Mus musculus: one gene and its partner. The protein of the gene in region 1 interacts with the protein of each later gene in a pairwise test. Links are inferred from orthologs where the notes say so. Each region holds a gene or a part of one and is shown on either strand. Other genes may lie near its edges.

The links.
Region 2: the proteins of Trim2 (region 1) and Lrrc8e interact in binary tests that used the Homo sapiens proteins (3 or more experiments, as listed by UniProt). The two-hybrid records come from large-scale screens. The link is inferred for Mus musculus from reciprocal best matches to the Homo sapiens genes TRIM2 and LRRC8E.

The regions. Positions count from the first base shown.
Region 1 is NC_000069.6:84,171,612-84,178,831, forward strand, and holds part of Trim2 (tripartite motif-containing protein 2), read right to left. Parts: intron 6,568-7,220; coding exon 6,464-6,567; intron 6,189-6,463; coding exon 6,021-6,188; intron 3,583-6,020; exon of another isoform or gene 3,027-3,582; intron 1,323-3,026; coding exon 1,154-1,322; coding exon of another isoform or gene 1,142-1,153; intron 1-1,141. UniProt on the Homo sapiens protein: UBE2D1-dependent E3 ubiquitin-protein ligase that mediates the ubiquitination of NEFL and of phosphorylated BCL2L11. Plays a neuroprotective function. May play a role in neuronal rapid ischemic tolerance.
Region 2 is NC_000074.6:4,224,457-4,231,776, reverse strand, and holds the start of Lrrc8e (volume-regulated anion channel subunit LRRC8E), read right to left. Parts: upstream 4,951-7,320; 5' UTR 4,772-4,950; intron 771-4,771; exon of another isoform or gene 315-770; intron 116-314; 5' UTR 111-115; coding exon 1-110. UniProt on the Homo sapiens protein: Non-essential component of the volume-regulated anion channel (VRAC, also named VSOAC channel), an anion channel required to maintain a constant cell volume in response to extracellular or intracellular osmotic changes.

The DNA of each region.
Region 1 (7,220 bases):
CAAGGCTAACACACCGACCTAATTAAGGAAGGACAGAGAACCCGAGCCCCAGTCCATGAACCATCACTTGGCCAGACTTCTAGCTCCTGATAAACTGGATCCAGCACGTTTCTCAGCTGTCTGCTCTGACCTCGCCCCACCAAGCCTTAGAAGTGGCAGTCCTAAGAAAATAGGATGAGCAGGAAGCGCCAGCAACTCTTCTCGCTCTGCCCCTCCGTAAGCCATACCCACCACCCCTGACCGCAGCACGCTTTTGCTACGTATGGAAGTAAAGCAGTGCTCTAATAATCAAAAGAAAACTATTGGCATTCTCTGCTCTGGGAAAGAGCTTCTAAAATATAACTTTTCTTCTGGGAAAAAAACCTGCATTTTATAATATTGAGTGACTATTCAGAATCTGGGCCAGACAAAGAAGGAGAGAATGAACACAAAGAAAAATGATGCCAGCTAAACTTGAAATAGTGCCAAGCATCCTTTGGAAAGAAAAATCAATGGACTGTGCTCAGCCTTTTCTTGCAGATGTGCACAACCAACAAAAGCTTGTGATTGCAAAGTTGCAAGATGCAAAGTTAAAAAAAAAAAAAGAAAGAAAGAAAGAAAGAGAGAAAGAAGACTGTCTTTGCTGCTCTTAGCAAATACTTACACTCCTGCCCTCTTACAGTAACCTACAAAGGTAAAACAGCCCCCATCCAGAGGCTTGTGAAAGAAAACTGCAGCCATGGAAAAACTGCAGCTCACTGATCTTCAAACACTTGTGGGTTGTTTGTTTGTTTGTTTGTTTTTGGTAAATATTTTATTTTAAGATGTATTATTTCACTGAATACAAATATTTAAAAATCCATTGTCTGCAGTGTGAGCAGCCATCGGTAGAAACCATTTAAAGGCCGCACTTTCAACTGAACCTTCTCAGGACAACTGAGAAGTGTCTTCATTGCTTGCTTCATTGCCGCTTCTGCTCTGGCTCCACCCCCAGCACGCCTACTGCTCTGGCTCCACCCCTGGCACGCCCCCTGCTCTGGCCCCACCCCTCGTACGCCCCCTAAAGATGGCACGCACACTGGGGGACTGGGCACCTTCAACATGCTCAGACATCATGCAAATGTGAGCAGAAGAAGCACAAAGAAGGGAGTTCACATATTACCATCGAGTGTACCTGCAAACTGCCTGTCCCCGTTTCCTCGGCTACCAAACCTGGTGACTATTTTCCCGTTGGGCTGGAAGATAAACACACAGCACGCCTTGTTGTCCACCACAATAATGTGCCCATTGCGGTCCACAGAAACTCCTTTGGGCCCCATCAGTTTTCCTGATCCAATTTTTGTCTGTTAGAAGCAAGTACAGAAATATACATCAAAGTTCAAAGCATTCCAGAAACCAACCTGAAGCTAGTTAGTTGTCTTAGGAAAACATTGGCTGAAATGTTATCTCTGTCCCAGAAAAATGGCTCTACCATATTCAGCATCTGCTACAGACATTTATATAAAAGCTTTATTTTTAAGGCATTTGCCACCAAATTTGGACCACAGTGCCCTTCTAAACAGACACTTGATGAAAGAGTACAAGGTCTAGAGAGAGATCTTGCTCCTGCCTGTCACTTGCTTTGAGCACACCGGAAACTACATTTCATACTCAGCACTAAAATCCTGGGCAAACTGGAGTTCCGGGAAGAAACGCTAGACACCAGACTCTGTAGCCTAGGAAGTGGAGCGTCAGTGGTGGCAAAAGGAATGTTTACCTTTTATTTTATACTTTTCACGTATTTTTAAAGCCTATTTGTATGAGCTTTTAAATTAAAAACTAATCCCCACTAATTACGTTTCATACATTCTGCTATGAAGCCCTCTCCTACCATATTAGCACTGGCAGATAGAAATCTGTGAGCTACAGATATACATTTTAATTTTTTAGAGTTATTTATATTACTTTATGTGCATGAGTATTTTGCCTATGTGTATGTCTGGGTATCATGTGTGTGCTTGGTGAACTTAGAGGTCGGAAGAAGACATCGAATCCCCTGGAACTGGAATTACAGATGGTTGTGAGCTACAAACGTGGGTGCTGGCTTCTCTACAAAATCAACAAAAGCTTCATCCACTGGACAATCTCTCCAACCTCCCACATATGTACTCTTCATTTCCTAATGCAGATGGAGTTTCTCCAAGTAGAACTTCTTGTGTGACTCTTTATTCTTTTAAGTCTACAAATGACGGAGATTCAGGTGTGATTGCCTTCAAGCAGAGAGACACAATTACATAGAAAGGGAAACATCTTGTCTTAGGCCAGGGAATCTCTTGTGCAAGTTTGATTCTGATGCTGCAATGAAGCCCACGGATCAAAGAGGCTCTAACATAATGGCATGTAAGGAAATCGCTAACCTCTTTCAAGTCTAAAAGGAAGGTATCACGAGAGATCAAAAGGAGAGCTGGCGCTCCGCTCATTAACCGCCTAATACACTACTACTTAACGTTACAAACATCAGTAGTTACTCAGAATGACTCAACCATATGATACCAAGTGGATAATTATCTAGAATGAAAACAGAAGCCAAAGGATTATCTTAGTTCTACTACAGGATGCCCGGATGCCGGCTAGGGCAGATCTACAAGCACAACTTAAAGCTGAAAAACAATGTTGCTTTCTCCCTCCACTATTGTGTCCACTTCAGAAGCACTGAATTCTACAAAGTGAAATAAGAAGCCACACATTTGGCCTCACCGTGTTACCCCCACTATCTTAGACTAGTAAGAAACATATTTCAGATATGTTGGAGACAGTTAAACAAGAGCATTTAACTCAACAAACAGCTTTCATGCTGAAGAGGGAAACGTTGAGACATTTTAGAATAGTAGCCATAAAGGTCGCCATGTTTGTGTTTCATATGTATATGGTTTTTTTTTTTAATTTTAATGTTTTTCTGATTACAAAAGGTTCCCAGCTGGTCTGGAAGATATAAGCCATGAGGGAAGATGAAAGGGAAGACATAAAAGGAGGCAGGGGAGGATGACTACTCGACTACACACCAGATGTCTATAAAAAACGGTAGTAAAGATGCTACACATCTGAGATGGTCAGGAGCAAGTATAAAGACCATGTTGGATCTCCTATAAACTTCCATTGCTGCTCTAGCATCTCTCTTTCCAAGCTGATAGTGCTCCTGCGAACATGGTGAACGTGCCTAAGACCCGCCAGACATTCTGCAAGAAATGTGGGAAGCACCAATCCCACAAGGTGACACAGTATAAGAAGGGCAAGGACTCTTTGTATGCCCAGGGAAAGCGGCGCTATGACAGGAAACAGAGTGGCTATGGTGGGCAGACTAAGCCTATTTTCCGCAAAAAGGCTAAAACTACAAAGAAAATTGTGCTGAGACTAGAGAGCGTAGAGCCCAACTGCAGATCTAAGAGGATGCTGGCTAGGAAGAGATGCGAGCATTTTGAATTGGGAGGCGACAAGAAGAGAAAGGGCCAAGTGATCCAGTTCTAAGCCGATTTTGTTATGAAGACAATAAAATCTTGACCATTCAACCCCTTTGATTACAATTGTTCTTTTGGGAGGGAATAAATTAAAAGCTTTCAGAAATTATATATATATATAAAAAAAGACCATGTTGGGGTAAAAGAGAAGTCAGCTGCACTGTTGCGTTCACTGTCTCATTAAAAGAGCAAAGCAGCAATCTTCTGATACTCAATTGTAGCCTGCACACCTGGGTGAACTTTTTACAGTACTCGAGTGCTCTCATATGCTCTTTTTACCTTAATGGGGTCTAACCAACATCTATCCTAACGAGGTTCTTGCTGCAACAGGCAATATCCTTCTCCATCCTCTGGGGGGCAGGAGTGCTCCAAGGTCTTTGCACTCCACAGTGTCTACAGCACTTGTGACCAACAGAGCCCAACTTTAGGATTTCAGTTCTTCCAAGTATTTATTATGTGTATGGAACTATCAAGTCATGAGTGTAAAATATGTCATTCAGGGAGCCATTCTCTCTCTCAGCTAGCAAACTCTTGCTCAATATGCAAAAGCTGCTTGCTGTTGTATTTGCTCCCAAAGGTACAGATGGCTAATTTTTTTTTTTTTTTTTTTTTTTTGGCCAAAGTCTAAGACAAGCATAAGCAGGTTGTCTCCAAACTAGAGTTCTTCTAGAGGACAGCAAACAGTTTTTCTCCGTGTTCCTACCAGAGTTGTCACGGTTGGGTGTTGGAAGATACAGAACATGAGAGCTTCCTGTACCTGTGGCCGTTATATGGAGCTGTCAGGTTCTAGCGGAACAAAAAGATGCACTATCACACTGTTAAAGGAGACAGCCCTTTATTTTCTTAGATTGAAAAGGTACTGCCTCACATAAAGCAAGGGCTCTAATCTGAGAGTAAAAAAAAAAAAAAATGTAAAACCCATCTCATCTCATAAATGCCATCTTGTAAATACCATGAGGTAACCATGACAACCTAAAGCCTTCCAGTGCCTTCGATCAATGAGAAAGGTTCCAGAATGAATTAGGAAAACACACCCCAAACCCTCAGAGAAGGAAGTAATGTGGTGGCAACTAAACACCTTCATTCAGCCATGAAGCCCAAGTCTCAGCTGCTCACACAAACTTTATGTTATGCAAATGATCACAAGAGGCATGGAGAAAAACATTTCTTAGATGAGGCCCATGTAAAAATTCAGAAATAAATTTCATTTAATTTGTACTCAAATCCTGTGAGATAGATGTTTTTAAACACCGAATTTTAAATACTCAGAGAAATGATGGGATTTTCCCAAAGACCAAAAGTTAGTAAAGCCCAGAAGTAGGATTCCAGGAGTCGATCTGAGTTAACATTCATGTTGTCGAATAAATCAGAAGCCTTCGGTAGGCTGGGCGAAGAACAGCATGATCATAGTGCATGTGGTCTTCCAAAAGACCTTTGACCCAGTCAGTGCCTCATAGGCCTGTGAGTAACGGTGACTCTTTGGTAAGACCTGACAGGAGAATCCCCTGGGCTCCTCTCGTCCCTGATAACTTGGGAAGAAGCAGAAGCTGTCACGGTTGGATCTTGAATCTACACAAAGTCCCGGATGCCAAAGGCCTAGTCCTCACTGCCACTGGGAGGCCGTAGGGTCCCGCGGAAGAAAGGGAGGTCACAGGGGCACAGCCCTAAAGGAGGCTGTGGGACTCTCTTCACTTCCTGCTTGCTCTGCTTTCCTAAGCCATGGGCTCAGTGGTTCCCTCTACCCTGTGCTTCCCTTTGCCACAGAACCAAAGCACAAGGGCCAAGTGGCTGTGGACTGAAGCCTTCAACGTTGTCTCCTGACAGAATCCCGGAGTATAGGTGAACTGGCTTTGTCCCTATCTAACCGGCCTCCATTTTCTTTTCCTTCTTAGTTCTATGTGACATTCATTAATGTTGCCTTTCCAAGTTATAGCAAATAATTTACAACCAATTTAAAAGCTCTTGTGCCTCAGGCCTTTCCCTCAGTATGCCTGTGTATGCTTTAAATGTAGGAAATGTGCACTATAATGCTGTTTCTCCCAGGCTTTCCACCCCATCACAGGCTGAGCAAGTAACAAAACCTTGTGACAGTCTGCAAATTAACTTGGGAATAACAAATTGCCTCTTTATAACCCTTTGCAAGAGTTTTTTTTTTTTTTTTTTTTTTTTTTTTTTTTTTTTTTACTCAAATTAAGGCAATCAATATCGTTTCCTGATAAGCGAGATTTTTGAAGCAAACAAGCTTTATGAAATAAATGACACTTATATATGCATGTATGTGCATGCATGTATGTGTATATGTATATACATGTATGTGTGCATATGCATAGGTATGTTTACACATGTATATGTACCTATATGTGTCCATATGTGTATGAGAGAGAGAACAAGTTTATAAAATTATCACAGTTTAATAAAACTGAAATTGATGACCCTATATGAAGAATTATAAAATAATGGCTTAGATTTAAACCAAGAAAAATATAATTTAATGTCATATTTCTTGCTTTTTCTACTACTTGGTGGCCAAATTGTAGTCACTCTTACCTTAAACTTCCCATCATTGGAGAAAATGCTAACCCACTTGTTGTCATAATCTGCAATGATGATGTCCCCACTGGGGTGCACCGCTACCCCCGTGGGCCGCTGGAGCTGTCCGGGTGATCGTCCTCGGATGCCGAAACGACTTTTGAACTGTCCATCATTGGAAAAGATCTGTACAACAAATGTACATCCATTAGAACCTGAACTAACACAGAAATCACGGGGGGAGGAGAGGCATTTGTGAAATGCACTACAGATCAGAATCTGGCAATGCTGCTTAAGAAGTCTCCCCCAACACACACACAACCACACACACACACACACACACGACAGGAGTCTACATACTTATCTTGTTCCTTCCCCATACTATTTATCTTGAGTCTAAAGTAAAGAAACACACCCTATCTCCAGTCAATACAGTCAAAGGGACACATGTAGGGCTATACCTGCACACACTGGTTGTTACTATCTGCAATTAATATCTTTCCACTTGTAGATGCAGCCACACCCTGCAGGTTTGTAAATTCTCCTTTGTTTCTTCCTTTGGTACCTAAGAGTAAATGAGAAAAGCATAGAAATTAGGTTATAGAGAATAAGATTAGCAAAAGCATTATCCAAGCTTCTGTAAGTAGCATGAAAAAACACTGTCTTTTCTCTTTTCCATGGTAGGGATGGACGCATAGCTGTGTATATGCGCAGTAGGTGTTTACTGAGATACAGCAGTGCAGCCTCTGCATTGAGATGTATATGGGGGGGTTAGGGATATAGTGGCTTCCCTTATGACTTAATCCATGAACTACTGGCCTTCTCTTTCAGGCCAATAAAGTCTTTGCAAAAATCATTCTTAGGCAAATGTTATTTTTTTTCCCTAATCAATCTGTAGCTGCATATTAACACAGTTAAAATATATTCAGCTTTCACAAAGAAATAATTAAAATATTCCAACTTTTGAGCTACAAGAGAGGGGTGTGTTTAAAAGTTTTGGCAAAATCTCACTCTTACTCTGTAGCTCTCAAAGGAAGTCTGGGCATCCGACTTTCAGAGCACACAAGGCACCCTGATGTCATGAACCAAAGACATGGTTCTCCCATGCTGGATCCATGTCTGCATGCTTTTCTAAGGCTCTGGACTTCTATATTTCTGATATCTCACGTGTGTGTGTGTGTGTGTGTGTGTGTGTGTGTATGTGTGCGCTGTGTGTGT
Region 2 (7,320 bases), on another chromosome or scaffold:
ATGAGCATAGCCACGGTGAGGTACTCAGCCAGAACATCCCACCAGGGTTTGAGCACCTTGAATGCAGGCTGCTGCTCTGTGAACTGCTTGAACTCCGCCACTGGGATCATCCTGCCTATGGGAGTCAGAAGACAAGAGGGGTTGAGACACCAAACAGTGAGAGCAAGGGTGTGCCTGGTGGAAACCCCGAGAGGCCAGACATAGCTCAGAAGCCTACGCACTCTCAGCCTGGCCAGAACTTTCTAGAATCTATGCATCGTTGTATGTTCCCTTCCCCTCTTAGCCGGGGTCTTGTTGCTTCCTTCGGAACTCACCTCTTTCCCAGTCTCACAGCGTTTCCCCTCCTCCAAAGCACAGGTTTATCTTTCACTGCCTGCCCTCTTCAGAACTCTGTGAGAGTAAAAAAACTACAGGGCAGCTGTCCTCCAGTCTCCTCCTTTGGCTGCCCACCTCTGAAGGAGGAAGCCTGTGACATTCGTTCTGGTACTCCTTTATTCTAGCTGGGTTCTCACCTCCACCTTGCCACCAGGGTATCCCCAGGCTCAAGACTTCCGGGGTGTGCCCCCCTACAGGGGTGCTCTGGGCACCACCTCCATTCTCTAACCGGAAAAGCCGGCTAGGGAGAAGCAAGCTGGAGCGTGGCTGTGCTCTAGTTAAGGGCCTCAGGGGTTAGGGAGTGGCCAGGCTGAAGGCTACTGAGCCCTGGAGGCATGTGCCAAGACACCTGACTGTTCAGATAGGGACTAGAGCCTAGAATCTGAAGTGGAAATAAGAAATCTGCCCCCCACCCCCACCCCCGGGGAAGAGTTTTGGCATGTGTGGAAGCATGAGAATCACTAAACTGGAAAACTCTCAGGGTGACACCTATGACTGGAGCCTGGCACAGGGCTGCCAGCCCACTCTGTCTATCTCTGGTTTCCTTTTCTACTAAGGTATCATTATCACAAAGGCCAGACCCAAGTCACACGGGGGTGTAGAATGTGAGCTAAGACAGGACTCCCAGGAAGTCAGCTACTTGCTTAGGGCAGAGAAGGAAGCAAAGAGTGAAGGTCTCTTGGACAGCCCACCCCTGTCAGCATCCAAGCTTTGTGCGCGCACACACACACCAAGGTGTGGATATGGAAGAGTAGGGGGTTCTGTAGAAAAGGGAGCAGGCATTACGTCTTCCTATATAGAAAATATGACACTGAGGTCCCAAGTTCATCCTGAACCAGGTACATGTAAGGAGACGACCAGAGAACAAGGTCCTTTACATATGCTCACCAAACACTCTCTTAAAAGTCTCAGGCTGTGGAGTAGCTCAATTGGTAGGGCACTTTTCTGGCATGTACAATTCTCTGAATCCAGTCTCTAGCACCACATAACTAGGCATACTGACACATGCCTGCAAATCTTAGCACTTGGGGATTTCAGGTAGGAGGATCAGAGTTCAAAGTTATCCTCAGCTACATAGGAGACTCAAAGCCAGCCTGGGTTACATGAAACCACATTTCAAAAAGAAATTTTGTTGCCCTCCTTAAAGAGGGGCTGTAGCTTAGTACTAAGTGTTTGCAAGAGTGTCTCCAGAACTGGAGGGGAAAAAATCCCAATCTTCATAATCTGACAGAAATAACGAGGGGAGAGAGATGACTCAAGGGATGCTACACATGTAAAATCAAGGACCAGTTCCCTGTCTCCACCTTCCACGACCCACGTCACAGTGTCACAGTTCCCAACTCTGCCAGGCTACCCTCACAAGTCACAGGCCAGGAGACAGGAGCCCTCTGCTCAGCTCCCAGGAACAAGACACGATGTAGACACACAATCAGAGGGAAGCACAGGGGATTATCATTGTCTGGCCCCGTGACTCAAACAAGATCTTGCAGAACCTGCCATTAAATTCCAGCAGGCAGATGGAAGGCTGGCCCCCTTCCCTGTGTCTGGACAGAGATAGTGGAAAGGTCACAGAACTGGGGGAAGTGTAGAGAAAAATCACAATGGATTTTATATGAAAGAATTTCTCTTGTTGTTCTTCATGCTGATTTTTGTTTTTTTATTTTTAAGGTTTTTTTTATTTTTTTTTTTAATTTTTTTTTTATTTTTTTTTTTTTTTTTGGTTTTTCGAGACAGGGTTTCTCTGTACAGCCTTGGCTGTCCTGGAGCTCACTTTGTAGACCAGGCTGGCCTCGAACTCAGAAATCCGCCTGCCTCTGCCTCCCGAGTGCTGGGATTAAAGGCGTGCGCCACCACGCCCGGCTTAAGGTTTTTTTTAAAGTGTGTGTGTGTGTGTATGTGTGTTTGTGTGTGCTTATGTGTCCAGTGGTTGATGCCAGATGTCTTCTACCATTCATGACATCAGTTATCTTTGTTATCAAACTCAGGAGCTCATGCTTGCTAAGCTACCTCTCCCATCCTCCATCTTTTCTTTTTTTCTTTTTTTTCTTTGAGACAAGGCCTCTCCTTGAAATCTGAGGGTGAGCATTTTCACTGGACTGGCTGGTCATTCTGGAATCCACTAAGGTTACCAAAGTGTGTCACAGTGCCCTGCTTTTATGTGTGTAGAGAAAGAACCTTGGAGTTGGCTCAAGACACCCCAAGACCAAATCAGCACAAAGGAGATTTATTTGCTCCAGAGGGGCAGAGGGCATGGAATAAGAGATGAAGAGACAGAAGATGGAGGCCGAGGTAGAAGGCGAAAGGAACAGGCAGAGGGGAAAGGGATAATTTACCCTGGAGAACAAAAGACTTTCTCTGGATAGTAGGAGACAGAGTTGGCCCATAGGAAAGTGGACGTTTATAAAGGTAAAGGAGAAATCTGTGTTAGGATCAGGAGTTCAGTTTTGATTGGATATGTTAATTAGGTGAGCTAAGGGGGCTTCTGATTCCTGGACTTCAATACTTTGTTACCTGTATTTTGGCAGTCAGTCTCAGGAGAGGGAAGTAGCCAAATAAGGAAATAAACCTTAGGGGCTAGCTTCAGAAATGTAATCTAACAGTTTTTAGCAAAGCAGATGGAAATGGGGGTCGGGGGAGAACGGCAAGGCCTGCCACAGCCATGCTTGCCATGCTCAGGTTGGCTAGAGTTCCTTTAATGTGGGCATGAGATGCAAACTCAGGTGCGCCTGCCTTTGCAGCAAGCACTTTACCCACTGGTCCACCCTCCAGCCCTCTTGTATCCCTCAAGTTTTTTGAAACAAGGTCTTACTATGTAGCCTTGTCTAGGCTGGTGCTGGCTATGTAGAACAAGATGAACCGAAAATGTACTGGGATTACAGAGGTGTGCCACCATGTCTAGCCTAATGCTGAGTTTTATCCCAGTTTGGGAAGTATAAGTGTGAGGGTCTTTGTCCTTTCATCTTGGAGGATGAACATAACTCGCTGAGGATTTCACTGCTACAAGTATCACTTGAGCCTGCCCAGCCAAAGTCTACCTCCTGTTTGATGGCACCAACTCTGTTTCCACCCACTGAAAGCACCCCTCATTGAGATGCAGCCTCTATGTATGTAAGGAGTGCGCTTTGGGGAAATGGTTCAGTAAGTGAAATATCTGATGCACAAGCACGAGGATCCGAGTGATATTCCCAGCACCCACATAGAAGTGGGCAGGGTAGCCTAGATCTACCAACACCCCCTTCCTATCTTGCAAGCTCCTTCCCACAGCTAAGCCTTAGCACTGCTCCTGCTGATGCAATGGAGGCAGGGGATGTTCCCAACCTCAGCCTGTCTCCCCAGCTGTAGCTCATATGCTAAGGGCCGAGAAGAGACAGAAGAGTTTTCAACTTTTAGAATACAAAGTCAGAACTAGGAATGTGGCCTAGTTGATAGAGTGCTTATTCAGGCCCTGGGTTCAATTCCCAGCATCTCATAAAACCTGGAATGGTGGGTGCACATCTCTATCATACTCCTTAGGATAGAGGCAAGACGACCAACACATTGAGCTCACCCTAAGCTGTGTAGCAAGCAAGCTTGTTAGAAACAGGCCAGCATTATATGACCTTGTCTCCAACAAACCAACAACAACAACAGCAACACCCCAAAACACAGGGCTGCGGAGGTGGCTCATTGGACAAAGGCACCTGTTGCCAAGCTAGAAGACCTCAGTGCAATCTCAGGGACCCATAGGTGGAAGGAGAGAACCAATTACTACAAGTTGTCTCTGACCTCGATGAGAGTGCCGTGGCATGTATGCACACACACACTAACTAACTAACTAACTAGTAAAGAAAAAAATTAAGCTCTTGAAAAACTAATCCCTACACTTCTCACAAGGGGGATAAAGAGGTAAGGGAAAGACACCCCTAGAGGAAAGTCTTGGGGGCCTATAGACTCCTAGGCTAGCCCCTTCCCAAGCTTATTCTGCTGGGATTTGGAAGGGTTTTTTGTAGTCTTCAAATATAAGAACCTTGAAATGTAAGGGAGCAGGCTTGTGAGGGTGGGGTTCTGCAGCTTTTAGGGCGCTCATGAAGATGAGCTCTGTCTTTCTCAGCTACCTCCACCACCCCACGCTGGGACAGGCTGCCAAAGACTGTCAAAGTCGACTCCTGCCTGTTGATCTCTCTTCCTTCGCTTGATCCCGAACTGCCTGGATCCCAGGACACCAGCTCCCTGGGGCCAAGCTGGGGATTACCGCACCCCTCTCCCAGCCCGGGCTTTCAATGTGTGTGGGATTGCTCCGGCCAAGGCCACGGAACCACCCACACCTGAGCGACTCCCTCCACTCCTCCGGGCCATTCCCTGGGTCCAGGTTGATCTACACGGTGGGACGAAAGCCTCCCAAGCCCCCGCTACTTACTCACTGCTCAGGGATGGAACTCCGGGGCCCAACTTCTAGATGCCTGGGAGTAGATCGACCCGGACTCCCGCAGAGTTCCCGGGCGGGCCAGAGAGGGTGAGTCAGGGCGGGCTGGGCCAGGAGCCGCCCCGCCCCGCCCCCGGGATTGTTCGGCCCCGCCTCACTACAGACGCTATCAGGTCGACCCCACTCCACGCCACGCGATCGCTAACAAGGAGAGATATTCCTGAGACAAGGGTCTGTAGAAGTCTGCAGTCCCTCTACCTCCTGGCTGTGGGGGCAAACTGGTATCCTGTAGATGCTCCACCTGGACAGGTGTCAGCGAAGTGGTTCTGGGGAGAATTTCCTTCAACCCCTAAGCATCCCCAGCTGGCACTAAAGCTCAGTGGAGGCACAGGCACCACAGGCTTCCGGCCGGCAGGGGAAGACCAAGAGCAGAGGACTATCCCTCTTCCAGAGCTGGCCTGCCATCAGGAGCTGTGCCCAGCCACAGGAAGCTAACCCAAGGTCTTGACTGTCTCTGCTGAAGCTTGTGGCCCATCCTGAATTTTGGAGGGCTGGAGTAGGAACTAACTCTTTTCCTCAACCTGGACTGTTCCAGGTAGTAGAGTTGGGCATGCAGGCGAGGGGGTAGGGGAGCCTGGAACTACTTCTTACTTCCCCACCCCTTCTCTTCAAACTAGTTTCAAATTCTCCAGGTAGACAAGGATGACCTTGAATTTCTGATCCCCCTGCCTCCAGCATCAGAGTCCCTACCACCTGAGAGGATTACAAGAGGGTTTGCAGGCTGAGGGATTACAGGCTAGGGCCACCATGTGTAGTTTATTTAGTGGTGGGGATGGAATCTAGGGCTGTGTGTATGCTAGGCAAGCCTAAATCTTCAGCTTCTGAAAGGTTCATTAAAAACCAAACCGACAAAACAAAAACTCATCCTATCCCACCACTACCACCACCACTCCCCAGGCCTCACAAGAAACTATCAACTCCCCATCATAGACCACCAAACCAAGAATACTGCCTATTTCCATCTGAAGGCAGGCAAATTTGAGCCTTCATCTATTCTATTCTTAGTGTGAAAATACTTTCTTAATGGGAAACCTATTTAGATTAATGAGGAAAGTGAGCATGCCCCACCCCCACCCCTCTGCAGGAGCATGCACACAGAAAAGAATTTGGAAGCTGGAGAGTTAAGAGTATACATTGCTCTTACAGAGGACCTGAGTTCAGGTCCTAACACCCATATCTGGTGATTCACAATTACCCACAATCGTAGAGGATTTGATGCCGCCTTCTGGCTTCTGTGTGCTCCTGTTCTCTTTTACACATACGTAATTAAAAATGAAAGAAATCTCTCTTTTTTTTTAGAGAAAAATCTAGCACTTGGAAGAAGACACAGGTCTACATTGCTGTTGGGCACCCACTGGAGAAGACTACAGAAGCTAAAAAGCAAAGTTAGCACACTTAGAGACTTTCCCAGAACTATGAACTTTGATAGATTAGATTTTGTTTTTATTTTAGCTGGTGGGGCTGTCTACATGATGAATTTTATGGCTTGAATGGTACTTCCATCATGGAGTCAGTTGTGCTAGAGTCTGGGGATCTGTTACACAAATAGAGAGTTCCAGGTCAACCAGGTCAACATAGTGAGACCCTTTTTTTTTTTTTTTTTTTTTCATCCTCCAGAGACTGGAAGTGAGTCGGAATTCTCTAAGCCTGGAGTGACTCTTCAGGTAGCTGAAGAACAAACCTTTCTGTGTTTAGCAGTCTTTTCCCCTCCTCCTCTCCTTCATTTCTTCTGGCACTAGATAGCAAACCTAAAGTCTTTCTTAAACTAGGAAAGTTTACTACCACAGAGCTATGCCCTCTAGTAACCTGTTTTATTCATCTTTGTTTAAAACAGGGTGTCACCATATAAAGCCTAGGATGGCTTCAAACGTGTTTGTGTGTGTGTATGTGTGTGTGTCTCTGTGTGTGTCTGTGTGTGCTCTGTGTGTTTTGTTTCTGAGACAGAATCTTTCTATCTATGGAACATCTGCTGGCATTCATTTGCCTCAGCTTCCTTGGTCCTGGGATTGCAAGAACATGCTACTATTCTTGACTCTTCTCTTTTTTGAGACAGGGTATCACTACATAGCCCTGGATGGCCTGAAACTCTCCATGTGGCTAGTAGTGGGGATGGAATTCAGGCTAAAGCATAAGCTGGTCTCAAACTCTCTCTGTGTAGCCAAGAATGAGCATGAATTCGTGATCCCTTTGGCTTCAACTCTCCAGGGCTGTAAGTGTGTATGTGTGTGCATGTATGTATGTATGTATGTATGTATATATGTATGTATGTGTATGTGTCCCCACCCAGCATATTTGATGTGAGGATTAAATCCAGGGTTTGTGGCAGACAAGCACTCTTCAACTTACCTATGTCCCCTGCTCTTCCCTTTGATTTATAGATAGACATTAAGCATACAAACAAGACGGGAATGGTTGCATAGCTTGAAGTCCTAATATGAAAGAGGCTAAGGTGCATACATTTGAGGCTAGCCTGGGCAATGTAC